Linked DNA regions of Nothobranchius furzeri. The protein of the gene in region 1 binds, or shares a complex with, the protein of each later gene. Links are inferred from orthologs where the notes say so. Each region holds a gene or a part of one and is shown in the gene's direction. Other genes may lie near its edges. The genes, in order: nup153, cetn3, nup205, nup188, ranbp2, nup107 and nup160.

What was found.
Region 2: nup153 (region 1) and cetn3 share a complex: the UniProt entries of both Homo sapiens proteins name them as parts of the nuclear pore complex. The link is inferred for Nothobranchius furzeri from reciprocal best matches to the Homo sapiens genes NUP153 and CETN3.
Region 3: nup153 (region 1) and nup205 share a complex: the UniProt entries of both Homo sapiens proteins name them as parts of the nuclear pore complex. The link is inferred for Nothobranchius furzeri from reciprocal best matches to the Homo sapiens genes NUP153 and NUP205.
Region 4: nup153 (region 1) and nup188 share a complex: the UniProt entries of both Homo sapiens proteins name them as parts of the nuclear pore complex. The link is inferred for Nothobranchius furzeri from reciprocal best matches to the Homo sapiens genes NUP153 and NUP188.
Region 5: nup153 (region 1) and ranbp2 share a complex: the UniProt entries of both Homo sapiens proteins name them as parts of the nuclear pore complex. The link is inferred for Nothobranchius furzeri from reciprocal best matches to the Homo sapiens genes NUP153 and RANBP2.
Region 6: nup153 (region 1) and nup107 share a complex: the UniProt entries of both Homo sapiens proteins name them as parts of the nuclear pore complex. The link is inferred for Nothobranchius furzeri from reciprocal best matches to the Homo sapiens genes NUP153 and NUP107.
Region 7: nup153 (region 1) and nup160 share a complex: the UniProt entries of both Homo sapiens proteins name them as parts of the nuclear pore complex. The link is inferred for Nothobranchius furzeri from reciprocal best matches to the Homo sapiens genes NUP153 and NUP160.

Annotation. Positions count from the first base shown.
Region 1 is NC_091759.1:104,986-109,247, reverse strand, and holds the start of nup153 (nuclear pore complex protein Nup153), read left to right. Parts: upstream 1-1,462; 5' UTR 1,463-1,496; coding exon 1,497-1,574; intron 1,575-3,834; coding exon 3,835-4,066; intron 4,067-4,143; coding exon 4,144-4,262. Other genes in the region: ptdss1b (phosphatidylserine synthase 1), read left to right, coding at 1-40, 136-233. UniProt on the Homo sapiens protein: Component of the nuclear pore complex (NPC), a complex required for the trafficking across the nuclear envelope. Functions as a scaffolding element in the nuclear phase of the NPC essential for normal nucleocytoplasmic transport of proteins and mRNAs.
Region 2 is NC_091746.1:37,904,235-37,908,289, forward strand, and holds the start of cetn3 (centrin-3), read left to right. Parts: upstream 1-1,255; 5' UTR 1,256-1,399; coding exon 1,400-1,416; intron 1,417-2,267; coding exon 2,268-2,406; intron 2,407-2,771; coding exon 2,772-2,886; intron 2,887-2,969; coding exon 2,970-3,161; intron 3,162-3,530; coding exon 3,531-3,574; 3' UTR 3,575-4,055. UniProt on the Homo sapiens protein: Plays a fundamental role in microtubule-organizing center structure and function. As a component of the TREX-2 complex, involved in the export of mRNAs to the cytoplasm through the nuclear pores.
Region 3 is NC_091744.1:88,204,316-88,207,815, forward strand, and holds part of nup205 (nuclear pore complex protein Nup205), read left to right. Parts: coding exon 1-50; intron 51-125; coding exon 126-250; intron 251-319; coding exon 320-434; intron 435-511; coding exon 512-661; intron 662-782; coding exon 783-857; intron 858-948; coding exon 949-1,106; intron 1,107-1,186; coding exon 1,187-1,267; intron 1,268-1,345; coding exon 1,346-1,537; intron 1,538-1,623; coding exon 1,624-1,825; intron 1,826-1,914; coding exon 1,915-2,013; intron 2,014-2,093; coding exon 2,094-2,242; intron 2,243-2,312; coding exon 2,313-2,504; intron 2,505-2,565; coding exon 2,566-2,687; intron 2,688-2,789; coding exon 2,790-2,922; intron 2,923-3,015; coding exon 3,016-3,142; intron 3,143-3,219; coding exon 3,220-3,293; intron 3,294-3,385; coding exon 3,386-3,500. UniProt on the Homo sapiens protein: Plays a role in the nuclear pore complex (NPC) assembly and/or maintenance. May anchor NUP62 and other nucleoporins, but not NUP153 and TPR, to the NPC.
Region 4 is NC_091746.1:61,212,051-61,216,065, reverse strand, and holds the start of nup188 (nucleoporin NUP188), read left to right. Parts: upstream 1-1,215; 5' UTR 1,216-1,275; coding exon 1,276-1,301; intron 1,302-2,469; coding exon 2,470-2,524; intron 2,525-2,722; coding exon 2,723-2,796; intron 2,797-2,869; coding exon 2,870-2,954; intron 2,955-3,046; coding exon 3,047-3,127; intron 3,128-3,232; coding exon 3,233-3,277; intron 3,278-3,362; coding exon 3,363-3,455; intron 3,456-3,540; coding exon 3,541-3,660; intron 3,661-3,737; coding exon 3,738-3,949; intron 3,950-4,015. UniProt on the Homo sapiens protein: Component of the nuclear pore complex (NPC), a complex required for the trafficking across the nuclear envelope. Required for proper protein transport into the nucleus.
Region 5 is NC_091747.1:23,239,305-23,242,804, forward strand, and holds part of ranbp2 (E3 SUMO-protein ligase RanBP2), read left to right. Parts: intron 1-1,043; coding exon 1,044-1,127; intron 1,128-1,216; coding exon 1,217-1,371; intron 1,372-1,453; coding exon 1,454-1,727; intron 1,728-1,867; coding exon 1,868-2,220; intron 2,221-3,500. UniProt on the Homo sapiens protein: E3 SUMO-protein ligase which facilitates SUMO1 and SUMO2 conjugation by UBE2I. Involved in transport factor (Ran-GTP, karyopherin)-mediated protein import via the F-G repeat-containing domain which acts as a docking site for substrates.
Region 6 is NC_091741.1:38,096,653-38,100,724, reverse strand, and holds the start of nup107 (nuclear pore complex protein Nup107), read left to right. Parts: upstream 1-1,272; 5' UTR 1,273-1,369; coding exon 1,370-1,377; intron 1,378-2,178; coding exon 2,179-2,258; intron 2,259-3,312; coding exon 3,313-3,402; intron 3,403-3,474; coding exon 3,475-3,569; intron 3,570-3,680; coding exon 3,681-3,816; intron 3,817-3,891; coding exon 3,892-3,995; intron 3,996-4,072. UniProt on the Homo sapiens protein: Plays a role in the nuclear pore complex (NPC) assembly and/or maintenance. Required for the assembly of peripheral proteins into the NPC. May anchor NUP62 to the NPC. Involved in nephrogenesis.
Region 7 is NC_091744.1:79,862,794-79,867,025, reverse strand, and holds the start of nup160 (nuclear pore complex protein Nup160), read left to right. Parts: upstream 1-1,432; 5' UTR 1,433-1,487; coding exon 1,488-1,578; intron 1,579-4,206; coding exon 4,207-4,232. Other genes in the region: fibroblast growth factor receptor substrate 2, read left to right, coding at 1-493. UniProt on the Homo sapiens protein: Functions as a component of the nuclear pore complex (NPC). Involved in poly(A)+ RNA transport.

The DNA of each region.
Region 1 (4,262 bases):
GATGACCATGACGCCACTGACTCATCAGCTTTAGTCCCAGGTGATCGTAGACGTCACTTCCATAATAAAAAAGACCATCTTCACTCATTTGAAGTCCTAATATTTCCTGTAACTGTACCTTTATTTGTTCCGTAGCTCAAACGGATTCACTGGGAAGTTTGCAGCCCACAAAATGGAGGAAGGTTCCTTCCAAGAGCAGATTTGTCATCAAGCATGGAGAAAAGAGACAATGAGCAACGCTAATAATAAATATTCATTCATTCTGAGAAGAAGAATGGATGTAACATGAAACAGCAGGGATATTATTATACTGAATGCATATTTAAAGTTGCATCAGTGATTTTAAAAATCCAGAATGCTAATAAAAACATTTGTCTGGTTGACTCCGGTTCAGGTTTGAGTGTAAAAGCTAAAATTCAAGGCAATGAAGCTTCATACTACGGAGGAGGATTGGGGCCACTGATAAAGTCATAAGTTTTACAGCTGATTTAAATTTTTTTTTCTTTCAGTGCCCTAATCTTCTTCCGCATTACACACACATGTACACTGGTGGTGTCTGGATTATTTTGTGTAAATATTCAACAAACGGCTCAGAATGTTGAAAGTAAAAACTGTTTTTTGTAGATCTGTTTCACCGTACTCCGTTCCACTTACAACCAGTAAGTGCATCTGCAGAAATGGAATGTAGCCCTTGTTGACCTACTCTTTTAGGTCTGCGATGAAATAGGGAGGGCATTGCCATCTTTAAAAAATAGTTGGCCATCCCTGCCTCGTGACCTGTGGAAGCCCTCTGCCCCACACACACACTCCCTTAAAACACATTTATGTTCACACAAATCATACATTAATCTTTTTTGATCAAGACATAAATAGATGTCAGTACGTTTATTTTGATCGATTGTTAATAAGTAACAATAAATACCGTATTCAATAAATCTGTATTTAAAAATATGCTTGTGCCACAGAACCTCCTCATTTTAATAAAAAGGCATAAATCCCAATAATTTTGTTATGACAGCAATGCGTAAATTAAACTTTTAAAACCGTCAAATAATATGAAACAAGGCCAGTAATAACTGGATTTATTCTGAAATGTTTGTGTTTGTCAATTTTGAAATTATTATTGCCACGGGGACCAATTTGGTGTGCCACCCCAAATTTTCACTGCCCCCCATCTGGCCGCCCCTGTGAAAATTGTTTAGGGGTAGCCAGCTATTATCAGATAAATGAAAACAACATCAATCATTTTTTTTATTTCAAGACTATCTTGAATTCTTTTTTTTTTAAATAAGCTAATAGTTTTCACCCCAGTCTCAATAAATAATAATCCAATAAATAAATGCTGCGCACAGAAAAACGGCTCCATAAAGAGCCCTTGACCTCTTTTGTTATGGTCACTCACTACATTACCCACAATTCATCTGCCGGCGGCCGCTGTGCTGGATGACAGCTATCCGGCGCCGAAACAACGGCAGACTCACTCAGACGACAGAGCCATGGCGGCCACGGGTGGAGGGAAAATTAGAAGCAGGAGATGTCAGATTGCTTCTAAACCTTACGCCAAGAGTAAACAGGTAAATCAAGTGAAAGTTTCCGTGTTAACAGCCTCAGTCGAGCACAGCACAGTGATTGAATTGCCACAATTCTTCAGTTTGTTTTGTTATTGTTTTGTTTGAGACATTTTATGGCCTTCAGTTAGCGCTCGTGGCCTCCACGCGCCGCTAGCATGCCCATGAAATGCTAACAAACTAGCAAGTTGGCTTAAGGTTAGCAAAATTAGACGGACTTGACAGTCAAATAACGACAGTGTATCGTCCAGAAAACTTAGTTAGTTTTTGTTTTAGCTCAGATCCCTACATGAAAAGCTGAGATAATAATTTTGTAAGTTGAAAGTGATTAGCCAAGTTAGCACGAAGCGAGGAAGTAGAATTTCAGCTGCTAATTGGAGCTAACCCACTAGCATCGGCGTACAACGCATTGTCTTTGGTGCTTTTCAACATCGCAGATTCAAGTGACACGATCATTTATTCCGTCGTTACATATTTATTTAAGTACGTGAACGTTTATAATGCAGCTGTACAATAATACCACTGAGGTATTATATAAATGACTAGTGTAAGTCAAATCTCAGCCTGCAGAATTGCGCAAGGAGCGTTGGGTTTATTGGGAACCCACATGGTCCCCCTGAGGGATAATCTACCGCCCTGATGTCAAAGTTGACGTTTTTAAAAGCACTCTAAAATGTAGACATTAGGCAAGACGTGGCTGGGCACTCGGCGGTTTCTCTGATCTGTTTTGTCATCTCTTAAAATTTCCACATAGTGTGTTTATAATAAAATGCTTAAGTCTCTAGAGTTGCAGAAATGATATCTAACTAAGGTCGGTGTATTAATAAATAATTACTTTGTCAGCAGTGTTTTTATGACAAACGTTGTCCGTTAATTATTTAAAATTTGCTAAGTTGACCATAAACAACTCTGCTACATCAAAACATGTGCATCCATTTCCACCTCACTTTAAAACTTGTATGTTCTTATTCTATACAGGCCTGGCACTCATGTTTTTGCAATAAATCAGCCTTTATTGAAATCAAACAAGTACATAAGATGTTAAACATGCAGGTTAGTGGCAGACACAAAGCTGATGGTTGTAGGTTATTGCGCAACCTTGCTGTTTACCACATTATTAGCGTTGTATTATGAGGTGTTACAATTAGAAGAAGTTGCATTATTTTAAACAAATAACGACAAGAACAAGTAAAGTCTAGTTTTGCAAATGCTAATAAACTAAAGATTTGCTGTGGCTTTTTGATTTACATGGTAAGTAAATTAAACATTCAGTTCTTGTGTTAGCAACATGCTTGCTTCTTGCTAATATTTGTGCCATGTCACGAAGATCAGAAAAGTTTTTCTGAAAGTACCCAACTGCACAAGTCATTAATGTTTAACTGTTTGGAAAATTTGGGGTAATACAAAAATGTCAAATACAAATTGCAGCAACCTGAGACGAGCTGCAGAAAATCTGACATCTCTCTGGGAGTTTAAAAGAAGTCCAGTTGCTTTTTGTACAACTTTAATTCACTTTTAATAGAAACATTAAGATTATTAATTTTGACTTGGAAGAAAAATAAATCTGGATTTAACCATGTTTGCAGTTTGCTGCAAGTCACCACAGTTGTTGATGTGCAGCAGACTAGTTGGAGCACATTCTGTTCAACATAGTCTTGTTTTCTTTAGATGAAAGGGAAAAATAAACAAAAGATGGGATAGTGATTTTATAAATGAAATGAAACAAACTCAGTATTTTGGGTTAATCAAAGTGGAATCGTTTAGATGATTCATGAATAGCAGGTTTTCAACCCATCCCTCTTATAGCTAGGCCCGCCATCATGGTACATATGTGACACTAACAGTGGGTAATCCCAGTATGATGTTTACTTATTAAAAAACACCCATAAGGAGGAAACAAATGCCTTCATTCATAATTGTGGCAATGGCAGCATTCAGTTCTGCCAACATGGGTTGGTAATGAGAAACCACACAACGCCCAACTAATAAATCCTGTTTCTGTAAAGCTGAAAAATGTTCTTTAGTTTATTTATTTTTGTAACAACAAAAGCAAGTTTTTATACGCCAAAGTAAAGTTGTTTTGTTTTTCTTTCATTAAAAAATTATTTTCATTTTTGCTGTGTGATTGGTTATGTCTGTTTCTTTTAGGGGACATATACATCTGTAAAACCTGGAAATGTAACAAAAACATGCTTATTATTTTGTTTTTCTACATTCCTTGTATATTCTTTGTCTAACGCCATATTTCTTGTGTCTTGATCTGCAGCAGTCAGGCCTGATTAGTCGAGTGACGGACACGGTGAAGAGCATCGTTCCTTCCTGGCTGCAGAAATACTTTAAGAACGGAGATGCTCCCGAAGGAGGAGAGGGAGGACAACGGACAGACCAGAGCTGCCTGCTGCCACCTCCTCCTCCTCCTCCTCCTCCGAATGGTAATGAAGAAGGACCTCCTTCTTTTGATGGACGGGATTCACCAGAGCCAAGCACCAGTAACACAGGTTAGAAGTTGCTCAGAAACAACATTTTGCTGTTTCTTCTGTCATTCATGATATTAACTTCCCTTTCATTTGCACAGAACCCTCAACAAGTCACGCATCCCTGAACTTTCAGGAGTACGTGCTCTCCCGACCTCCTCTTAGTCGCTCTCACCTCCACTTCAACCCGCTAGATGTGTCCTCCCCTACTTTTGGAGCC
Region 2 (4,055 bases), on another chromosome or scaffold:
TAGTTACAGTTTGCTTCAACTATGAGACAGAATGTAAAAAATCCTGGAAGTCACACTGTAAAATTTTCTAAGAAATTATTTGTATCATGGTGCAGAAGATACATATTTAGTGCCTACATATGTGCAATAATTCTGGTCCTCACATACCTGTTACTTCTTCTTTAAGAAGCTTATCTATCCTCCACTTGCTGACTGAATTAGTGGCAACTGGTATCTGTATAAAAGACACCTGTCTACACCTTCAGTCAGTCAGACTCCACCATGGCCAAGACCAGAGAGTTGACAAACGACATCAGTGTCAGGATTGTACACCTGCACAAGATTGGCTTGAGTAAATCCACAACAGGTAAGCAACTTGGTGGGAAGAGATCAACTGTTGCAGCAATTATTAGAAACTGGAATAAATACAAAATCACTGACAGTATTCCTCGACCTGTGGCTCTGTGTAAGATCTCACCTTGTGGGGTACAAATGATCTTGAGAATGGTGAGGAAACAGTCCAGAAGTACATATGGGGAATTAGTGAATGACCTGAAGAGAGCTGGCACCACAGTGACAAAGGTTACTACTGGTAACATACTACATTGTTATAGATTAAAATCCTGTGGCACTCAAAAAGTCCTGGCGATGTTAGAACATCCACAACTTAGTTTAGAGAAAGAAGATTTTTCCTATGAAAGAGCACTCTTTGGTGGGCAAAAACTAAAAGCAGCACTTTTTGGCAACTCTGAACTCTGGCTGCTTAGAATTTCTGAAAGTTAAGATTTAACTGGGCTTGGAATAATAGTTTTATAAAGCAGCTTGAACGTATGAGACTTTAACAGCTGGTGGAGAGGGTGTCCCCCCACCCCAAAATTTTTTTTAAAACAAAATCAAGATTTGAGGTTCATAAAGACCTTGTGAGTGTTACATTAGCACGTGAAGTCATTAGAATAATTCTCTATGTCCAAATTCACCAGATATTGAAAATTTTAGGAGAATTTAGGTACCTTACATAATATACAGGCCCTTTCTTCTTCTTTATGCAATGGTGATGTGTCAGAATATTTTTGATTCATCATTGGTTTGTATGTGTATATATATATATATATATATATATATACCGGGCATATGTATATCCATCCATATGTATAATATAGACTGTGGTATCAGTTATGAACACGAGGTGGCAATAGTGCTCTAATTGACTGCATAGAGCAATGACAACGACCGGGTAAGCGGCCTTGAAGAAGTAACATTAACCAACCAGATCTCGCCTAACTGCTGCCTGGCAACCAGCGACCAATAGGATTCCTGGTGTGTGAGCGCGGATAAACGGATTTGTTGTGTTTGCTGGAAGCTGTAGCCACATAGCATTCAGAATAACATTTGGTTTAAAGGTTTTATAAATTCACCTGGAATGAGTTTATCTCTAAGGTAAGGAGCTAACCTTTTGTCGCGAGATGTGGCTGTTACAGTTCAGTTGAAACCGGTGGTACGTCGAGATTTGTTCCCCAGTTGAAAAACGTACGCCTTCGCTTGTCTCGTCAAGATGATTTCGTCCTGCCAAATTGTACAATTATAGGCGTAGATGTTATTTTTTTTATCAGGATAAGACATTTATGAGGGAACGAGTCCCTTGTGTATAACTGTAAATTGAGTAATATTATCTAATTGTATCGTAATCTGAATTAGATTAGAATTAGTGATATTCACTAAACATGATGAATTTCACAGCTACAGCAATGACCAAATGATTAAGATATATATTTTTAGGGATTTTCTTGAAATAATATTGCTAAACACAACAGTTTACAAAGAAGCTGGCGGAGAAACGGTGGGGGACCCGAATGTACTAGTTTTTTGTTTTGTTTTGTTTTTTTCCATCTGTCAATAAACAATTTCCCCCAGACTTTTGGAGGTCCTCCCAATGTTTTTGGTAAATGTGGGTTGTTTTTGTTGTTGTTGTTGTTGTTCAGCAGAGGCTTTGGAGAATGAGGTTTACCTTATTGTTGACACATGACCTTAAACCTTAACCAAGTTTGACCTACAAAGCTTTAGATGTTCTTCTGGGTTATTTTGCTTTTGATTTTTTTTAGAACAAGGCATAAGGTAGATTTTTTTAAGATCCTTTAGCCTACCCTGTGTCATCAGAGAGACCCCAATAAACATTACAGAAAATGGTTTAGTTCTCATTGGATAACAAAGTGTATGGGTTAATGCATTAATAAGTCATGGCTGTGATACAGGTAGTGTCTGAGGTGAGACTGCATGTGTGTTTGTTTCAGCAGAACTGATCTTGCAGCTGAGACAACCAAGCGCAAGAAGAGGAGGGAGCTCACCGAGGACCAAAAGCATGAAATTAAAGAAGCTTTTGACTTATTTGACACGGATAAAGATAAGGAGATTGACTATCACGAGCTGAAGGTAAGAAAATGGGCCATAGTGGTGGTTGTTATGGTTACCTTATGGTTTTTGTGCCTGAAATAATGCCGTATATAAGTTATGCTTTTATAACCTCATCATTCCTATTTTTCTTTAACTGCTGTGAATGTGGAGCACCAGGTATTTATGTATTATTATGTAAGTAAAAGTAACTAAATACCATTTAATCACCTTTTGGAGAAACGCTAATGGGTTTTCCATGTCTGAAGGCACCCTGCTGAAATAAAGCTCCAGGGGAATTGGAGCTAACGTTCTACAGCAATAACATTTATTTGTTGTTTTAGTGCTAGTTACTAATTGTTCTAATCCTGAATTCAAACCAAAACAACATTTAAACATCTTGTCAGGTGGCGATGCGCGCTCTCGGTTTTGAAGTGAAGAAAGTGGATGTTCTGAAGATTCTGAAGGATTACGACAGAGAGGGAAGTGGGAAAATCACCTTTGAGGATTTCAGCGAAGTGGGTAAGGTGGTCATCGGCTCTGGTATTACCTCATAGCTTGAGGTGCTTCATTAGCTACTAAACCTTTTCCCTACCCCTCAACAGTTACGGATCGCATCTTGGAGCGAGATCCCAAAGAGGAGATCATGAAGGCTTTCAAGCTGTTTGACGATGACGAGTCAGGAAAGATCAGCCTGAGGAACCTGAGACGGGTTGCTCGAGAACTCGGGGAGAACATCAGCGACGAGGAGCTACGCAGCATGATCGACGAGTTTGACACAGACGGGGATGGAGAAAGTAAGACCGGAGTCTGAGATGAGAGCAACTCTGTCTCTCTTTTGTTGTGATTTTGTGTCTGATTAGAGCCGCAGATGCAACAATACCAACATCATCACTGCATCTTCTGGCACACACAGGCATTTTAATTATTTATATGATTGTTCCTAACATTGTTGCTTTCACTGTTAGACCAGATCCTGTCACGTCAGCAGGCATCTGCTGCCCTGGAACAAAATAGATTTACTAACGACAATGTGTAAACATGTTCAGTTAAAGTAACAAAAATCCACTGCTGCTTCGCTTTTTGTTTGTTTTCTTTCATTCTTGCGTCTAAGCTTTCCAGGTAAATCCAGTAGATCTGACCAGGTGTTTTTCCCTTCTTTTCAGTAAATCAGGAGGAGTTCCTCTCCATCATGACCAGAGACCCATGAAGAGGTTTCCCCATCTGTAAGTTGGACTCTTTGCCCATATTGGGAGGAGATATGGGCCTTGTTCTCTTGCTTCTGAGGTGGACTGGACTTTATCAGGAGCCTGGAGCTTTGTTCTGACTTGGTTTGATAAATAAAAGCACCAGATCGTGTCTGGACCAACATCTGCTCACACTGCTCAGTTCCTCTCGTAGACATGAAGTGTCAATATGATGCTGACCTGCTGGCATTTCTTTAAGAAGCGAGCTTTTATTCATGGAGTGTGTTTGTGTAGAAGACGAGTCTGAAGCTCCGTTAGGAACGTGTTAATGTGATGTAGTAAAACACAGAAGATCAGATCTGTTTCACTCGTATCCTATTTGACCTGTTGCAGTTATTAGTTAAATGTGGCATATTTATTTTTAAATTGTTTTGCCAACCCTACTCATTTGTCATTTCCCAAAGAGCCAGAGTCGTCAGACCCGGCACCATCATACTTTAATAA
Region 3 (3,500 bases), on another chromosome or scaffold:
GGGTTATGAGGTCAAGAAGCCCGTTTGTTCCACAAACCTCCAGGATCCTGGTACGGGTTTCACACGACTGATCGGCGTTGGGTTTGAGCTTTAAAGGGTCACATCTGGATTTCTGCCTTCAACAGGCGTGTTGGGATGTCCACGCAGCTGCCTACACGCCATCCTGAGTCTGCTGCAGAGAGGCACTGAGAAGAGATCAGGGCCTACCCTCACACAGGAAGCTCCTCACCTGGCGGAGCTCTGCTACCAGGTATTAACAACAACATGAGCCTGTAGCCTTGGATCTTTTCGGTTATCTGACACCTTTTACTCATCTCAGGTGATCTACCAGCTGTGTGCCTGTCCAGACACATCTGGACCCACCATGCGCTATCTGAGGACCAGTCAGGACTTCCTGTTCTCTCATTTGCAGCACCTGCCCTTCATCCTGTCAGGTGAACCCTGCTGAATGATCTCGGACTCGTGGCCCAGAAAAGTGTGAATCTGTGTGTTTGTTCTGTTTGGCCTCCAGGTAATCCGATCGCTGCCCTCTCCCAGATGTCGTGGCTCATGAAAACGGCTGCCATCGAGCTGAGAGTGACCTCACTGAACCGCCAGCGTTCACACACACAACGTCTTGTCAGCCTTCTTCTGGATGACCAGCCACACACCCAGCACACAGGTGGGAAGCGTGCTTTTCCTGGTGTTCACCTGTTCAGATGAGCTTAAATTAGGCAGAATGTTTATGAAAAAGATTTAAAAATATTCTCGGTTCACATCTAAAGAGATCTGCTTCTCTCTAGCTGACGGGGAATCCGGCATGGAAGAAGAAACCCGATCAGTCAGCGCTTTTCTGCATTTTGACTCCGCCTCCAAAGGTTTGCCCTGCCTTACTCATCAGTTGTGATGGTGGTTGGTTAGCAGACTTGTATTTGTTCTCCTTAAACGCGTCTGGCTTGTGTGCCTCAGTGCGCAGGAAGCTGCTGAGTGTTCTGGACGCTATCGACTTCAGTCAGGACCTGCCGGAGCTGCTGCAGTTGGACTTTTTTGAGCGTACTCAAATAGAGCAGGTGATCTCCAACTGTGAGCACGTTAATGAGCAGGGCCACACTGTGTGCAACGTCAAGGTGAGTTCACACGCACACAGCGTGAGTCACTGAGGGTTTCAGCGTGTTCGTCCTCGTGAACGGGTCTGTGTGGCGTGCAGTTGCTTCACAGGGTGCTGGTGGCCGAGGTGAATGCGCTACAAGGAATGGCAGCAATAGGACAACGGCCCCTGTTAATGGAAGTAAGGGACATCTCTGGGGCGTTCCTTGTGATTCACACACACTCATTTAAACGCTTGAGCTAACTGTTGTCTTGGCAGGAGGTGAACTCCATCCTGCAGCACGTGGTAGAACGCAACCGCGTTCGCCGGAGTCTGAGCGCAAAGCGACACGCGCTGCAGTCCTGGAGGAGCCTCGTGGAGACGCTGCTGACCGCCTGCCCAGCTGATCTCATACCTGCTGACGACAGGCAGCTCATCATCAGAGACTTGCTGCTGGATCTGCATGATAAGGTGAGGAAATGTTCCGTCGTATTGGGTATTTACACCATTTTCAGTGCAGCGGTGTAGAAAACTGCTCAACACAAATGTTAATGCAGGTTTTATCGGAGGATGCAGCAGGAGAGCTGATGCCCATTGTTGCTGGAGCCGTCTTCACCCTCACAGCTCAGCTCAGCCAGGCGGTTCTCTCCGAGCAGCAGCAGGGCTTGGGATCTGAAACGTCTTCTGGCTTTGCGTCCATTGCTAATTCATCCCTTCATTTAATCCTCCGCAAGCTGCTAGACTTCATTCTGTGCACCGGTTGGTGAATCCTTAAAACTCCTTTGGCTGAAAGAATCTTTATTTCCTGTTTTGTTGATCAAAACATTAAAAAGCTTTAACACTGGCAGGAGGAGGATACCAGCGTCTGCGCGCTCACCTGTATGGCTCTCTGCTGTATTACCTGCAAATGGCTCAAAAGCCTGAGGAGCCAGACACTCTGCAGAAAGGTGCAGCTGAACACACTTGCTCTTTGGTGAGGCTGTGTCTGGATAGGGTTCATCATCTCAGAACGTCTCTGTCTGTGCAGCTAGTAAAGCCATGTGGGAGCGTCTCACTGCCCCTGAAGATGGCTTCTCCAAGCTGCAGAGGGAGAATCTGGCAATAATCGAAAGCTATGGCAAGTCCCTCATGGAGGTTGTGTGTAGGGATGCCTGTGACGGCCACGAGATAAGCAGGGTAATTAGTGAGACCACTCTTTACCTTCTCTCTTGAGCCCATGGTTGACTTCCTGTTGTGTTGGTGTCAGATGCTGGCTTTGGCGGTTCTGGACCGTATCCTGTCAATAGACCGCCAGAATCAGTGGCTGGTGTACGTGTGCAACAGCGGCTACCTGCGTTCTCTGGTGGAGAGCGTGAGACAGGACGACGCCGCCCTACAGAGCCTGCTGACCCCCCAGCCACCTCTCCTCAAACCACTCTACATCTACGAGAGCAAGATGGTGAGGAAATGATTGTGGCTGCCAGCTCTGAACGGTGTTGAACTCTTCTGCGTGTCTCCAGGCTCTCCTCACCCGTGTGGCTAAAAGTGGTGAAGGAGCGGTGGAGCTGCTGCGCTGTGGCCTGGTGGCTCAGCTGATCGAGTGTCAGGTGTTTGACATGGTGCCCGAGAGCGATTCCCTCAGGTGTGAGACTTGCCTCTTCCCATTAGACCGTTCTTGTTTATTTCTGTTGAACTGACATGTTCAGCGCTGATTATCTTTACGTTTGTTTAAATGTGGCCTCAGGATGACGAGGGATCCATCTGGCTTCGTACCGTCCCCTTTAGACCGCTACCGGCAGATTCTTTTGCCGACCTTGAGGCTCTTTCAGGTGATCCTGACGTCTACATCCATAAATCACCAGCAGGGGGCAGCGCAGGTGAATATTTTCTACCAGACATAAAAACATGTACCTGCTTCTAGCTCTGAGGTGTAAGAAAGTGGAGTGTTGTGTTGGTTCGGGAACATAAAGGTTCTCCAGTGGCTGATCGTCCACGCGGACACCGTCCAGTCCCTGCTGCGCTGTCAGGATCTCACCATGGGAGCTCTGCAGGAACTCTCTCTGCTTACTGGCATCATCAGTAAAACTGCACTGCCAGGTATTCAGCAGTAACTTACCTCTGTGTGTGCAAACTCTCCGTCTGTGACTTATGGAAGGGACTTCGTGTTCATCCAGGTGTCCTGGAGACGGGTGGAGAGCTCAACAGTGCTGCTCTCATGGAGTTCCAGGGTCACATTAACAGATTCCAGGTGAGACCACCTTAAATGTTCTCTGCAGGAACCTTCCAGGGTCCTAAATCAGCCTCATGGTGTGCAGCTGGTAACAGATGTGCCTCTTGCAGCGTTTGTGTCTGGCGCTGCTGAGTCGCCTGGCAGGAGGGGAACGGGAGAGGTTGTTGAAGCAGGCGGAGATTTCTGCACCTGCAGATTCAGCCGAACACAGAGAGGAGATGGAGG
Region 4 (4,015 bases), on another chromosome or scaffold:
ATACAAAAGCAGGTTCGCTTCTTGTTTATACCGATGTAAAACTCTCTTGTGAATACATTTCACATAATACATTTCCTCATTTTGATCTTGGCAAATGGTCAAAACTTCACCATTTATTTCCACAGGTGGGAGTAACTTAACTATATACGTGTTGGTTAAACTTTCAATTCTGGTACCGAGGGCTATTTTAAAACTGCTCGACATGTTTCTGAAAGCTTGTCTAGCTGCGTGCTATTCTGCTCGATCTGCTAATGTAAAGTAACTGTATATGACGTCACGTCTGCGAATTTATGCACTTTGAGGCGCATGCGCATTCTAATTAATTGTAACCATCTGGAGATGATCTGTCAAGTAGCTCCACTCTGAGGCGCATGCGCATTCTAATTAATTGTAAGCACCTGGAGATTAGCCAGCTGTCAAACAGCTCCGTCTGCGTGTCGGCGGTCACGTGGTTAATGTTTTCCTCTTCCAAACAGCTCAGCGCTGCCAGCGTCTTCTGGCAGAACTGGATGCTGAAGCCATCATTTTCCCATTTCTACAGTAATATTTTGGTGATTTTTGACAATAAAGTGTATTGATTACTGTAACCGGCAGCTGTCTGTTTCGCTTTATATAGAGGAGCGCTGCCGCTGCAGCGTCCTTGACAAGCCAGACAGCCATTCTAGATATTTATAGTTGTTCCTAGCAGTAATTAACATCCACACCAACTATTCAGAACGACTATTTCAGATATCTGGAATGTAACTCCTAATTCCGTTTCTTCTTTCTACAATGTTCATTCTTGACAGGAAGTCTGTAATTGTGGAAGCGCTGTAGAAGCCAATAAACATGAATGGGAAATGTGATGTCATTTGTTACATTTCACATATCTAAAAAAAACGGTCATGCTGGACAGTAGAAATGTTCTCGTGGATATCTGGAATTTTAATTTCTACTAGGAACAATACAACACATATCCAGTCTGCTTAATGTTAAAACGAGATATCTGAAATAAGTGAAACCAGTTTTAAAATAAAAGAAAATGTATTCAGTGATAAGTAAACAGAACACCTAAATATGAATTCAAACAAAAAATGAAAATTGAAAATGAACAGCAAAAGTGCCTCAGTAAAGTAAAATTTAAAACAAACCTGCTGCAAGGAACTGAAATTAAACGTTTTGTTCAGAGGAGGGCAGTAAAGCATCATTAAGCACAAGTCCAATTCACGAAGAAGAAAGTTTCCGTTTGTAAAGACGTCAGACACTTTACTAACCAATCACAGGGCAGAATCTAAGATGGCGGAATCGGAGATGAGTGTCAGGTAGAAACATAAGCGACTAACTAACATTTATTGTTAATAAATAGTTAAGAGACGTTGATAATGAGTAAATCTGGCTACAGCCCGTGTTCATTTATTAAATCACAACTGTGGCAACAGAGTCATTTAACAGTCTGTTTTAAAAAGAATTAGCACCATGCTCGTATAGCTTAGCATGTGCTAGCAGCTAAACATTTCAAAAGGTTTTTGTAGCGCGGCGCTACCTCACATGTCAACAACAGTCAGAGCTGTTGTCAGCCAGGGAGATTTTTCTGGCAGAGATAGAAAACGCGTGCTGATGTCAAAATTATTACGTCTTGTAGTAAAAGAGGCTAGTCTATTGAAGCTAAACCCATCATTTAGACACGATGGAAAAGACCGTCTTAAGTTGGAATTATTTTAACGGACAGATTTTCTAAAATGAACCCAACAGAACCTTAAACCAATCGTAGTAAATAAACTGTATTATTTAACAGTTTTACCATAAATAAAAGGCTTATTGAGGAACATTAGAGGACATTTAAAAACTGCTGAATCTGTCAGACCGGTGTTGAGAAAAAACTTATGGGATTTCAAAGAGGCAGATTGACAAAGTTGTTTTATATCAAAGCTGGTACAGAAACACGATTTAAGAGAATTTAGTTCAAGGTTTTAAGGAAAAACAATAAAGCATTTTAATTCTGTATCAACCTTTGTATTTAAGGCAGTCAGTGAGGATGTTTGAAGTGTGTGTAGTGGTTCCATTCATATTTAGTTGTATTGTTCTTGGTGATTCAGTACAGTGCATTAGCTCAGCATTCTCTACAATCTGACCTTGATGATCATTTGGGTTTGAATTTCAGTTTTCTTTAAACACAAACTAAATCTCTCTTATTGTGTTTTAAATGCATTGGGTGGGTGCATGTGCAACATGCGTTTGACAAACAAAGATATGTATAACCTGATTGACAAACTTCACATCTAATTGAGGCATAAGGAGTCCGGGCAGGTCTACAGTTTTGCCCAGGACACATTTATGTTTTATCAGTTAAATGCATCTGAGGTCACTCACAAATGCAGCCTGTCAAGTCAAATTTGCATATTGTAGTATTTTCCTTGTAGTGGATCTGCATCATATCTCATTTATTAAAGGTTATTGATTTGCTGACTTTCACCTCTCTTCTCCTCTTAGGAGCTGTAGAGAGTTATGGACCATTTTGCTGGGGAAGTCTGCTCTGAGAGAATCGGTATGTCCTCCTCACTCAAAGAGAGCGTATGCTGAACTTGACCATCCAAAATTTTAGACAATTTATCCATAAGTAATTTCCTGGTTTAACTCATGCTATTCTAACTTCTATATAAACACACACACACACACACACACACACACACACACACACACACACACACACACACACACACACACATTTGTATTTTTGGTGCAGGCTCAAATAGAGGGAGAGCTTGACAAGCACTGGGACAGACTGCATCAGGGACTCAGTTACTACAAGCCACCCAGGTATAATTACATCAAGGTATTTTCACATCAGATACATGAATAAATGAGTAACTATTAGCTTCACCTCCCGTAGTTCATCCTCCGCTGCGAAAGTTAAGGAAAACAAAGATGTTGCACAGCCCCTGAAAGACTTTGGTCTGAGGATTAGTAAACTGCTGGTAAGCATTTAGATCTTTTTATGTCACAGAGGGTGGATTCTTACGTTTTCATGACTGCTGGTTCATAAGGGATTGTTGTAATAATGTTTTAGAATCTTGATGAGCAGCAGAGTGTGCAGCTTTTACAGTGCTATCTGCAGGAGGACTACAGAGGAACTCGTGATTCTTTAAAGGTGTTTGCTTTCAACTTTTTTTGTTCTATAACTTACTAGAAAAACAAAAATCCACTGGTACTAAATCATAGGTCTGAAGAGATTTAACAGTAGTTTCTGTGACAGGTTGTTCTCAACGAGGAACGGAAGAGTCAGGCTCTTCTCCTAAAGGTATGCACCCAAACTAGCATTACGTCACTTCTGTGCCATTTTCCAATCATTTCTGTTTTTACTAGTGTTGTTAATTTTTTTACAGATCGCTGATTATTACTATGAGGAGCGCATGTGTCTGCTCAGATGTGTCCTGCTGCTGCTGACATACTTCCAGGATGAGCGACACCCCTATCGGGTGAGACATATTTCTTTTTTTAAATGCATTTCTTCCTGATGTGATGTTTTTTTGTGTAAATAATCCTTGTTTTTTTTTTGTCAAGGCCGAGTACAGTAACTGTGTCAACAAGTTGGAGAAGGACCTGGTGAACAGCTATCAGTCACAGTTTGAGAACCTCTTCAAGGCTGAAGCACCAACATGGGAAACCCATGGCAACCTCATGGTAAACACTGGGTTTATTTTTACAGCAGCGTACTGTAGCCCCGTCTGCTTCCTTACACTCTTCTTCTCGTTTGCAAGACGGAGAGACAAGTCTCACGGTGGTTCCTGCAGTGTCTGAGGGAACAGTCTCTGCTGTTGGAGATCATCTTCCTGTATTATGCATACTTTGAGATGAGCCCACCCGACCTTGTAAAATTCACCAAAATGTTCAAAGAGCAAGGCTTTGGGTTGCGTCAGACTAACAGACACCTGGTGGACAAGAGCATGGACGTGCTGGTTGACCGGATCGGGTAAGGTCACCTCACTGACTTTGTATTTATGTGTTAAAATTGGATGAATGTATTTATTATTGTAAG
Region 5 (3,500 bases), on another chromosome or scaffold:
TCCTTAAACTTAATGAGTCGAAGACTGAGGCCATTCGTTTTGTCCCCAAAAACCAGTCTTGCACCTGTGGGGTACCGACACTTCCAAGTTTGGACCTCAAGAGGTGTGTTACCAGCCTTGGGATGAAATCAGATGTGAGGTTTACGATGATCAATGCAGTTGTGAGGTCGTGTTTTTGTTTTCAACTTTGTTGTTTGGCTGGCCTGAAGCCGATTTTGAAAAGGTCGCACTTGGAGTCTGTGATACACTCTCGCCTCGACTGTGCCAACTCGCTCTTAGTTGGCCCTGAATCGTTTGCAGATCGTGCTGCAACATTCTGCACAATCAGCAAATGCAGGCAGACATAGCCACACAACCCCGCTTTTGTGCGTCTGTTTTCAGCAACAGGGAAGTTCAGTTAAAAATGCATCCAAAGTACAGACATTTTCTTTCTCTTCAGGTGACAACTATGCTCTGTGTTAGCTAACTGCTACGTGTTATGGTGCGTGGATTCCCGGACTACCTTAAATTGTGAGACTTACGGTGTTGTAAATGAAACAAAGAATACTGATGTAGAGGAACTTGTCGAATTTAAAACTAAGCCAATATTATTGTGCATGAAAATCTTTTTGATAAATTTAAAAAAAGTTATGGTTTTTGTTTTATATGTTTAAATCAGATTTTTCTCACCTTACTCTGATTTCCTGAAAAGCACGTGATCGGAGCATCCCTAGTTAACACCTCTGTTTATCGGAGTCTGAGACGTTTAGTAAACCAAACGACTGTTGGAGGATGATTTTATTCTTGGATCTGAGATTTTATGTTGAAGCTGTTTAAAAACAGATCCGATTCTAAGTGACCATTATACTTAGAACATAGTGACCTTTCTAAAACTGGGACTTACATTTTAATTATGCACAATGTGTCTTCTTCAGCTTCTGATGACTTAGTTTGTTTTCACATTTTAACAGGGACCATGTTGCTGTCAGATACATTTCTCTGCTGCATTAAAACAACACATCAGTTTGTTTCTGTCACTAATAACGTTGCCCCTGTTGATGCAGACTCTTTTGGTTTCAACTCCCTTGGAGGGTTTTCTTTTGCCGACTTGGCCAAGAATACTGAAGGGTTTGCGTTTGGAACAAAAGGTTGGTTTTATTGACTTTAAGTGGCGTCTTTTTAAAATTGAAATATTTCAGAATTAATGGAACAAATGTTTGTTTGTTTGTTTGCATAGATTCTGGTTTCTCGTGGGCAAATGCTGGAGCGATGGTGTTTGGGTCCAATATGTCCTCCGAGGCTAAAAGCAATGTTGATGAGGATGGAAGTGATGAAGAAGAGGCTCCTAAAAATGTGGACATTCACTTTGAGCCTATAGTATCCCTGCCTGAGGTATCAGAATAGTTTTCCCCTTTTTAAGACAATTCGATGATTTAGAGGCAACGTTTGAAAATCAGGTTTGTTTGTGTCTCAGGTGGAGACTAAGTCTGGAGAGGAAGATGAGGAAATCCTGTTTAAAGAGCGCACCAAGCTTTTCCGATGGGACCGGGACCTCGGTCAGTGGAAGGAGCGTGGCATCGGCGACGTCAAGATCCTCTTCCACCCAACCAAACACTTTTATCGAATCCTGATGAGAAGAGAGCAGGTGCTGAGGGTTTGTGCCAACCACACCATCTCACAGACGATGGAGCTCAAACCCATGAACACCTCAGCTAACGCGCTGGTCTGGACCGCTACCGACTACTCAGGTACACATCCTGAACAGGATTCAGGCTGATATTATTTAGTGTAAAAAAACTAAGCTCCTTTAGACTTGTGGATCATAAAAAACCCTGTGGTACTCTCTGATCTTCCTGACTGCTTACTTGTTGCTATCTCCACATTCTAGACGGTGATGGTGTCGTAGAGCAGCTGGCAGCTAAGTTCAAAACCCCAGAAATAGCCGAGTCCTTCCGTAAAACTTTCTGCGAATGTCAGAACCGGATGGGCCAAATCGGTGAGGATGCTTCGATTACCTGGCAACAGATGTCCAGAGTCCAAGAGCACTCCAGAAAGACCAATCCTCAGGTGTTCCTCAAAGTGTCTGCTGACAATGTGCCGCTGGGCACCATCACTATAGAGCTTTTCTCTCATATTGTTCCGAAGACGGCAGAAAACTTTAGGGTTCTTTGCGTCGGAGAGAAAGGCTTTGGGCTACGGGACTCCATCTTCCACAGGGTCATACCAGATTTCATGTGTCAGGTGAGGGTCTCCGTTGTGATGAGCCTCAGCTTTTAGCCTGATGAGTTTAACATTTATGGGCTTGAAACACGGGAGGCGACAAACGACCGCGATCAGCGAAATTCATCGCTGTCGCTTTTATTACCTGACACGGGAGGCAACCCGCAGCCAACGGCAAAGCCGACGACGCGTTCTGTTCCATGGTGAAATCGAATCTTCCGTTGTTTTGATTGGCTGTGTCAGGTTGGAGGGAATTAAGGTTATTTAAGCCGGTGTTCCGACTATCCGTGCCCCCTGTCGAAATGTGCTACTTTGGGGGAATGCACAGGCCAATTATTGCATCACAGGCTGTTTACAAGTCAAGACGTGTTATCTGTGGAAGTTTACGTTTAATCTCGTCACTTAGCTAGTTACTTTCAACTCGTCGAAGGTCACAGTAAGTATTTCTTTAAGTTGTTTAATTAAATTACTGCTTGCTGTAAGTTTACCTGACAGCTTGCAAATGGCTTCTAAAATATCGTTATTATACTGTAAACAAGAAATTTCTCCCATTGTTTACAGTCATTTTGAAAGAGTCCCAAATTAATATCCAAAAGTTTTATATTATACATATAATAAATTTATCATAGTTGTATAATAATCTCCAAAATTGTACATTCAAACAAATAACTATAAATATTGGGGAGAAAGCATATTTGTTCTATGTGGATTAATTTGTCTAATACAGGATTAGGTAGAGAAATAGAACAGTAAGAGCTAACGTCTTACAAATCTCCATTTTTATGAATCACTTTCTCGACATGGGTGAAAGTAGTTGGTAAATCGTCATTGTTCTGAGGATATTCAAATGTTTTTAGCAACTAAGGGGTTTAATTTTTACAAAATGACTAAACTGCTTCTTACACAATCCACCTTTTTTCATAAAATAAATTAACAGTAGCTACCGATTTTCAGCAAACCTGGACAGAATGAATCAGCTGTTGAAATGCGCGTTGGTAGGAAAATTTGACGAGGAAGCACGGATAGTCAGAACACCGGCGGTTCAGAGTTAAAAAAGCGGTAGATGTGATGTTTCACAAGGTGCTGCTAGAGTTATTTGAAATCTTACTTCTGATTTTACTACGTAAAAACCAACAGTTTCCCATGCCGCGGCCTTTTTGTGAATATCTCTGTTTTCTTTGGTAGAAATATTGTACAGTTCTGGGAAATCCGTCACAGGAAGTATCAACTTCTCCATGTTTGCTCGGAGATGTAGGGAACATCCTGTCCTCTCATTGGTCAATGAATGAAACCTCCGTTGA
Region 6 (4,072 bases), on another chromosome or scaffold:
CTGTTATTTCTAATAAAAACTGGTAAAACTTGACTAAATTATTACGTCTTAAAATCCTAATCTGCAGTTAGAGTCGGTTTAACCATAGTTAGCTTGTTATTTCATGTGATTCAGCATAAATGTAGCTGATTCGATCCGTTTTCCGTGAGTCTGTGTGATTCTGCCACGCAGCAGTGGGGAAACTTTACCTGGGAGGGGGTCTCCATCTTCCCTCTCTTTCCCTCTTCCTCCCGGGAGCTAGCGGGCCTGAAAGCCTGTCCTGCCGGTGCCGGGGGTTCCAGAACCGGTACCGGGGCTGTAACAAGTGGGGTTTTAACGCTGTTCTCCAGAGCACCGCGGTGAGCCCTTCTGTGTTCCTGCTTCCTACGTAACTAACGCCGTTAAGCGGACCGGAAGGACGCAAAGAGCAGAGATTAAATATCACCAAGATGACTCACTCCACTATGAAAAATAAAATTAGCCCAGAAACCAGACAGGAAAAGAAGCCTTTATTTTTGTTTCATTCAAATGCTGCTGTTGTTCTAACTAGTAGATATATGTTTATGCAGGTTTAAGCAGCTTCCCAGTTTTTTTTTACATGGAATAACTGCAATGACTTTCAATAGGGAGTGCCACAGGGTTCAGTTTTGGGACCCCCCTTGTTCATTATGTATTTAATGCCATAGGACATAATGCGTTGGATGCTAATATGTACTTTCACGCTGATGACACAATCATTTTCTGTTTTGGAACACCTCCAGGGCCGGTTCTAGGTAATTTAGTGCACATGGCGAGACTGCCCATGTGCCCCCCCCCCCTGCCTGCATGCCTCTCACCCAAAACCCACCCACCCACCACACATTGGAAAGAGCAACTCCACAGTTATTCCTTAGTTACTAATTTTTTATTTTAAACATTCACACAGCAACTCTTCAAAGTCAACAGCCTGAAGAATAATATAAGCTTGAAAGAAAGAAAAAGAAAGAAAGAAAGTAACCTGAGAATATTACAATAATATAATATAATATAATTTGCTGTCAGCAAATACCTCAAAACTTTAAATAATGTTTTTTTAAACCTGTCCAATCACATGTTTCTTCCAGTGTTACACATTTATTTATAACCAGGTAAGTTCATTGTTAGAACAGCATCTTTAACGTTATAACGTGTTATTTTCCTGTTCTATAAGTAAACCATCAGCTACTTTTATGAGTATGTACAGTCTATGATTCCAACACACAATCGAGAGTGCAGTCTAGAGTCTGACCTCTGGGGGCAGCAGAGACTGTAAATGGGAATTGACTGCTGAGGAAACTAAAACAGAAGAAGACTTTTTTACAGCATGGTTTGCAGCTAAACCTCCTGAAGCGGGAATTGATTCCTCTGTACCATGGAATGGTAAAAGACGATATTTAAATTATGTAAAAATGTAGAAAGCTTTTCCACCGCTGTCTGTTTTTTTTGATTAGCCATTCGTTTAGTCATTTGTAGGTAACTTTAGCGGGAGCTAAATTAGTTTGCGCTGCTAGGTCTTCCGTTCATTATGAATGTTGATGCTAACCGGCTAATTTTTGTTGACATGGTTAGTCGTTGACGTTTCGAGTGACAGGTTATTGTCATTTAAGTGAATTAAGCTGTGCAAAATTGAAAAATATAAACAATATTTCAGTGTTTGCCGAAGTGGAAGAAACCATGTAACCGTTGATGTAATTAAGGATACGATTAATTAGGTGGCTACAATTATTTATTGTACGCATTTCATCAAACAAACCTTTAATAAGATATTATTAAAAATGCCTTTCGTATGCTTTAGTGGTAAAGTTGTTGAATAATACTTTAGTGCGGCTTGGTTTATTTTACCCGAAGGGTGTCCCCGTGGAGACTCTTAAAGTAAAGAAAACATCAAATCTTCAGACAAAACACCGAATAAACGAATACAATTCTGGAACAGAAAACCTAGGAATGATCTTTAAGTGTTTCTGATGTTTATTCTGACAAGGCCTCTTCATCACCATATACTTTCCTTCTTGTCAGGTTTTGCAGGAGTCTGTTAATCATCCTTAAGGAGGATTAGGAAACGCTGGATTAAAACAGACGAATCCATTTTTTGTTCATGTGTTTTAAATGTTTGCGTTAAAAAGGTGTTGTGTGGGAACGTGGTGATGCTAATGTGTTTTAATGTGTTGGCTTGTCTTGAAGGGGTGAGAGTGAGCTGCAGTCTCCGGTGGTTCGAGATGACTATGTGACCGATGCTGCCCGCAGGAGGAGCAGGGTGGCCTGTATCCTCCTTTTTATTGTATTTATTTAACCTTTATTTACCCAGATGAGTCGATTGAGAACTCATTCTCATTTACGACGACCATCTGGCCAAGAGGTAGCGGCAACGGACAGTTAGCTTTACACCAAAGAAAAACATAAGATAAAAACATACAGGATCAAAATAAGATAAAACAGTCAGACATGAAGACAAGGGGCTGTTCTCATGTATAATGTGTACAAGCAATCAAAACTGACTCCTAAAAATGTGTTTGTTGTCGTGAAATCTGTCAAAGATTTGTAATAAATATGGTTACATGATGCAGCGTTCCTTCGCTTTTATGATAAACAGGAATCACCTGTAATTGCTGTTTAGAGGCTATTTATTGATAGAATCAAGTTGATGCTTAAAGAGCAAGTCACCCCGAATCACATTTTTTTGCTGATAAACTATATATAGGAGTGTCTAATCATGCTACAGACACGTGTAGTCAATAATTTGGCAGTTCAGTGCATCTTGGTTAAAATTCAAATATTCTGCCTAAAACTTTCAGTGTTGTGCGGTTGTCAGGGAAAAATTCTGCACTGTATTTGAATTTAAATCTGCCACCGCTATTGGCTAAGAGGTATGCTATGATGTCATCTGGTATATTATGATGTCATAATGCCATTGTGAGCCTGTGTGTGTGTGTATTTGTTAGCGGCTCTGCCCTCTCGGTCTGCCAAGCAACAGCATTTGTTGCATTTTTCAAACATGATGTGGGAGTGGAGTAAGTTTCTTGTAGGGGGTGACTTGTTCTTTAAATGATGTCTTTCTAATGTACAAATTAGTGTAAAATTCCTGATTAAGTCTTTTGTTGTTATTATGAAGCCAGATTTTCTTGTAATCTGGATCAGTAGTTCTTCACAGATTCCTGAAAGTTTTTCAGAGCTTTCGTTTGGTTGCTTTACACCTCGTATGTATTTCTAATTAGCTACAAGTGATGAAATTCTTGAGTTTGGACCAGCACATTAATGGTTCTTATTTAGATTATAATGTTGGGGCCATCAGTGTTGTTCTCTTGACTTTTGTCTCAGTCCCATCACCTAACACCGGTAGCCCAGTTGTTCCCATGGCAACGCCAGCTCGTACTCTGACCACCCCCGCTTCGCTTTTCAGACAGGCTGGTAAGACGGATTTCCTCCTGATGGTTGGTCTTCAAACTGCACCACATTGAAACTCTGTCTCTTTTGTCACAGTAACTCCCAGAGTTCCAGATGTTTCCTCCATTCTGGCGTCAGGAGCTCGGACCCCTCGATATCAGTACACTCCCAGAAGCACTTTGGGCAATCTGGTGAGAAACTTGAGCTTACATTTAGAGCATACTCTGTTCTCATTATAGTGAATTTGTGTGTGTGTGTGTGTGTGTGTGTGTGTGTGTGTGTGTGTGTGTGTGTGTGTGTAGAACTTGGACGACAGCGACTGGACCACCAGCTTTTACACCTCCCCGGCTTCTGGGTTAGGGAACACCAGCTGCTTCAGTGATGACGGTGCCAACCTCAGCTCAGCGCTGCTGAAGGAGGATGACCCAGGAGACGCAGGTGAGTAAAACAAACACCCCCAAGGCTTCGTCTTGTTACTCTGCTGCTCCTGATGCTGGACTCTCATCTCTTCAGCGGCCGCCAGTCTGTTTCCGGAGTTCCTTACTTCCTTTCTGAAACATTCTTCCTCTGCTGTGTTTGAGCTTGTGGAGGATTATCAGAACATCTGCAAGGACAAGGTAAGTCAGGAGGAGCTTAAACACACCCTCTGAGGGCCTTTATCAGGATTTATTAGTTCCATTAGTGGTGCATTTAG
Region 7 (4,232 bases), on another chromosome or scaffold:
ATCGCTCAACGGCTTTAACCACGCCCCCTACAGCTTGCTGCATCACCCCTACTCCCACCCTCTGTCTGCTGCCCTCGAGTCTTCTCACAACTATGTCAACACAGAGAACGTGACCGCGCCACTCAGCGCGCACCGGCCTGACACAGCCCGCCGTCGAGCGGATTGCCCCACCATTTTTAATTTTGAATTCCGCCGACCGCCTCTGCCGGGCCACATGGAGCCGACTAAAACGCTCAACTACATCGAGGTGGAGATGGACAGCAGTGGTGGAAACAAAGGTGCCTCTGATGGCAGCAACCCTCACACACCCCGCACCCCCACCTCCCCGCTGCCCCCCACCACACCCACGCGGCGCACAGAACCCTATGCGCTAATCGACATCGAGCGCACTGCCGCCATGTCCAGTCTACAGAAGGCACGGCCGCGGGACGACGGCACGTCACGCAAGACGAGACACAACAGCACTGAGCTGCCAAGCAAGAGCGCAGCGTGATGCGCATGGAGCTGTGCACGGACTCCTCAGATAGGAGATGGATCGTCTTGTAGTCTCACCTGTTCAGGTGAACTGGTACTTTATACCTCTGAAGGTGATGATGTAACAGACTGCTTTCCTTATATGGTACACATCAGTATTACTGAACAAACATTCCAGTTATCTTTTTGTACGAGTCACTGTGCTGCTGTAAGATGACACATGTACAGTAGAGCTGACACAATAAAGTCTGCTTCTATTTGAATCGGCTGCCGAGCGAGCGCCTTGCTTCATCTCTGAGCCACACCGCCATTCGCAACACAAATGCATCTGTCCATTAAATTCAGTAATCGGTGCAGTCTTTTCCAGTGAAGCATCTGCTGCCACCTAGTGGTCAAAGTGGCAGCAGCAGGTTCTCGGGTGGAGAAGCTGGAGGAGCATGTGGTCCTGATATTTATGTGAGACTCCACAGATCTCCAGAAGACGTGGAAAGTGCCAAAGTCAAATATAGAATAGAATAGACTTCATTAATTCCACAGTGGGTAATTTGACTTGGTATGGCGGCACATTCACCTGGAGAAATGAGAACTAGGAACTAGGCTATTATCGTAACCTTCAGCACTCAAACAAATGAATAAAATAGAGTAAAATAGAAAATCAGGGTTTCGTTTTCCCTTCAGCCTCAGCGTGTGTGTGTGAGAGAGAGAGACAGACCTTCAAATTAACAAACTTGTTTTTTTATTAAAATGTGAAAAAAATTCATTTATGTTTTCTTATCATGCCATACCATGTATCTGACTTTGTTAAAAAAAATCCGTAAAATGAGTTTTGAAGTTAACACCTTCAGTCGAAATAAATGCTCTGCGGGTGATTGGGAACCCATCCAAGATGGCGGCCCGCTACTGCTACGTTGCGTCCACAGACATATCTATGGTTACAGTGGGGCGTTTATTTCACTGGGTTTCTAAGATGCTGCGTGCGCAGCTTTCAAGTGTCACGTGGCCCCACGGAGAAGATGGCGGCTGTAATGGAGAGAAGCTTCGTGGAGTTTTGCGGGTTTGAGCGGGAAACAGAGCGCCGGTTCCGTGAAGTCACAGTGAGTCCAGGTGAGTGTGAGTTCTGATTAATGAAGTCCAGTTAGGCATTACTTTTAATGTTCCATTCACGTTAACTGGATCCCGCGCTGATCTAGCCGCGGCTAGCTACGCTGTCCTCTCGCTCTGCGCGTGCTCACATGTCTCTGTGATGTGAAATGTTCAGGGCAGCTGCACCGAACAGGTGAGCTCTAGTGAAACAGTTGTATGGTCAACTCAAAGGTTGCTCACCTGTTACTCATACTGAACAGGGGCGCAACTGCCATCATTCTGAGGGGTATGTAGGTGCATAACAGCCCACCGCAGATCAAAGCTGCGGTGTAACCCAACCTGAGGCAGCTAGGCTGGATTACGGTGTCTTCTTTATGGAGTCAGTAAGTCCTCTTCACGCAGAAAGAAAGAAGACGATCTTTAATAGAGCGCCTCAAGATAAAATCACGAGGATGTGGAAGCTCAACCCTAATCCTGCAGAAGTGTCAAGGACTTTATTTAGCGAAGTGCAAGTCTACACCAGGAGAACATGACGTATACGACACAGGTGAATACCTGTAAGTGAACATTCAGCCAGAGGGATTAACGGTCAGAGATGTGGATTGAGCCAGGTTCATCTGAGATCACCTGATTTTGTTGCAGAGCAGAACAAAAACACGACATGGAGATGACTTGATGCCACAATTCCCATCTCTGTTAGTTCTACAAATACGTGCAAAAATCCACAAGCATCAATCGTTTTGAGACTTTTTGTTAGACGAGTGAGAAATTTTGTTTATAAATAGTTATACATTTTTAAGAGAATAAGGGAAATATGGCATCTTATGAGCAGATTTACATTTATGGATCTAGCCAAGAGAATAAACACGTTCGTTGCAAAAGTATACTTATTGTACTTTTTTATTCGGTCACTACCCAAAGCTTGTGACCATAGGTGAGGGCAGTGTTGGGAACGTTACTTTAAAAAAGTAATTAGTTATAGTTACTGATTACTTTGTCAAAGTAACTCAGTTACTGAGTTACAAGATTATAAAAGTAACTAATTACCAAGAAAAATAACTACTTAGTTACTTTTTCATTAAAGCGTGCAAGAGTTACTACAATAGTGAAATATAAATGACTAATGATTGGAACATAATAAAATGAATGTCTAAATGTTTTTTATAAACCTGAACGATTTAAATAAATAAGCACTTAACAGGAGGAACTACTAACAGGAACATTACACTTATCTAGACTATTAAAAGGTCACTGTGTGATTTTTAACAAGACCCCAATCAGCTAAAATTTAAAATTGCAAATAGAAACACCTGTAAAGGTTCCCGAGCCTTTAAATGGTCTCTCAGTCTAGTTAAATTACAGAAATAAATGTAATTTTGCACAGCATTTTAATTTTTCCAGCTTCACATAATTGTGTGTTTTTAGCAGCATTTCTGTTGCTGCTAATCTAGTAACGGTTAAATAAATAAATAAAATCCTTTAAAATGACACTAGAAGAGGCACAAGCCTGATGGAGGACTTACATTTACTAACTTGGGTCAGACCCAACCACAGAAGAGCTGAAGCTGGGTGGTAAACACACACAGGTAGTTCTAGTAACACCTGAGCTCCATGCCGTCTGAGACTGATGCATCAGTGTTACAGCGGGACTAAAGACATGATCAGAAACAGGTTACAGCTGGATGATCTAGGAAGGTAGAAGATCAGGACGTCGGAGCGGTGAACAGGTGAGCGGACCTTCGGGACGTCCCGCTGTCACGCTAAGAAGGACACGGCTGCAGACCCGCAGATTCGCTGCCGCGCTGCTTAACGCACGCATTTCCTTATCAGTAACAGAAACGATCGTTTTGTTAAGACGGTAATTAATTAGTTTGCTCGTTACAGAAAGAAATATATATATCTTTTTATTAACGTGGTTATTTTAAACGGCGTTATTCCCATCACTGCTCAGTTGGGTCTACAGCAGGCAGCAACTGAGACAGTGAGAACACTGAGGGTCTCCGCCCACCCGGCTAATCATCATCGTGTTTGTAAGCGCGTTACCGACACCTCTCTTCCTGGCTGCAGCTGAAGTGTGGCGGTCAGAAAGCCTCACGCTGCTGCTCAACGTTCGACAAGAACATAGTAACGCACAACCTTCCATCCCCAGTAACGGTAACGGCGTTGCAACAGTGGGAAAAGTAATTAATTAGATTATTCTGTTACCTAAAAAAGAACACCATTAGTAATGCCGTTATACTTAAACGGCGTTACTCCCAACACTGGGTGAGGGTAGGAACGTAGATGGACCGGTAAATCGAGAGCTTCGCCTTCTGGCTCAGCTCTCTCTTCACCACGACAGCCCGGTACAACGCCCGCATCACTGCAGACACGCTCCAGTTTTCCCTCACCCGTGAACAAGACCCCGAGATACTTAAACCCCTCCACTTGGGGCAGGACCTCATCCCTGACCCGGAGAAGGCATTCTACCCTTTTCTGACTTTGCACTAGTTTTATATTTATAAATTCTGTGTCCTTTCTGAGCTTACCAACATTAGTTGTTGTATGAAACAGTTTCACATCATTATTAGTCACAATGGCTGTTTGACCAGGCAGCTGGTTAGTTCAGCTTCGAGGTGACTTCATATCTGTGTTTTTTTTTTTCTGCAGGTGTGAGCGCTCCAACAGTTGGGATC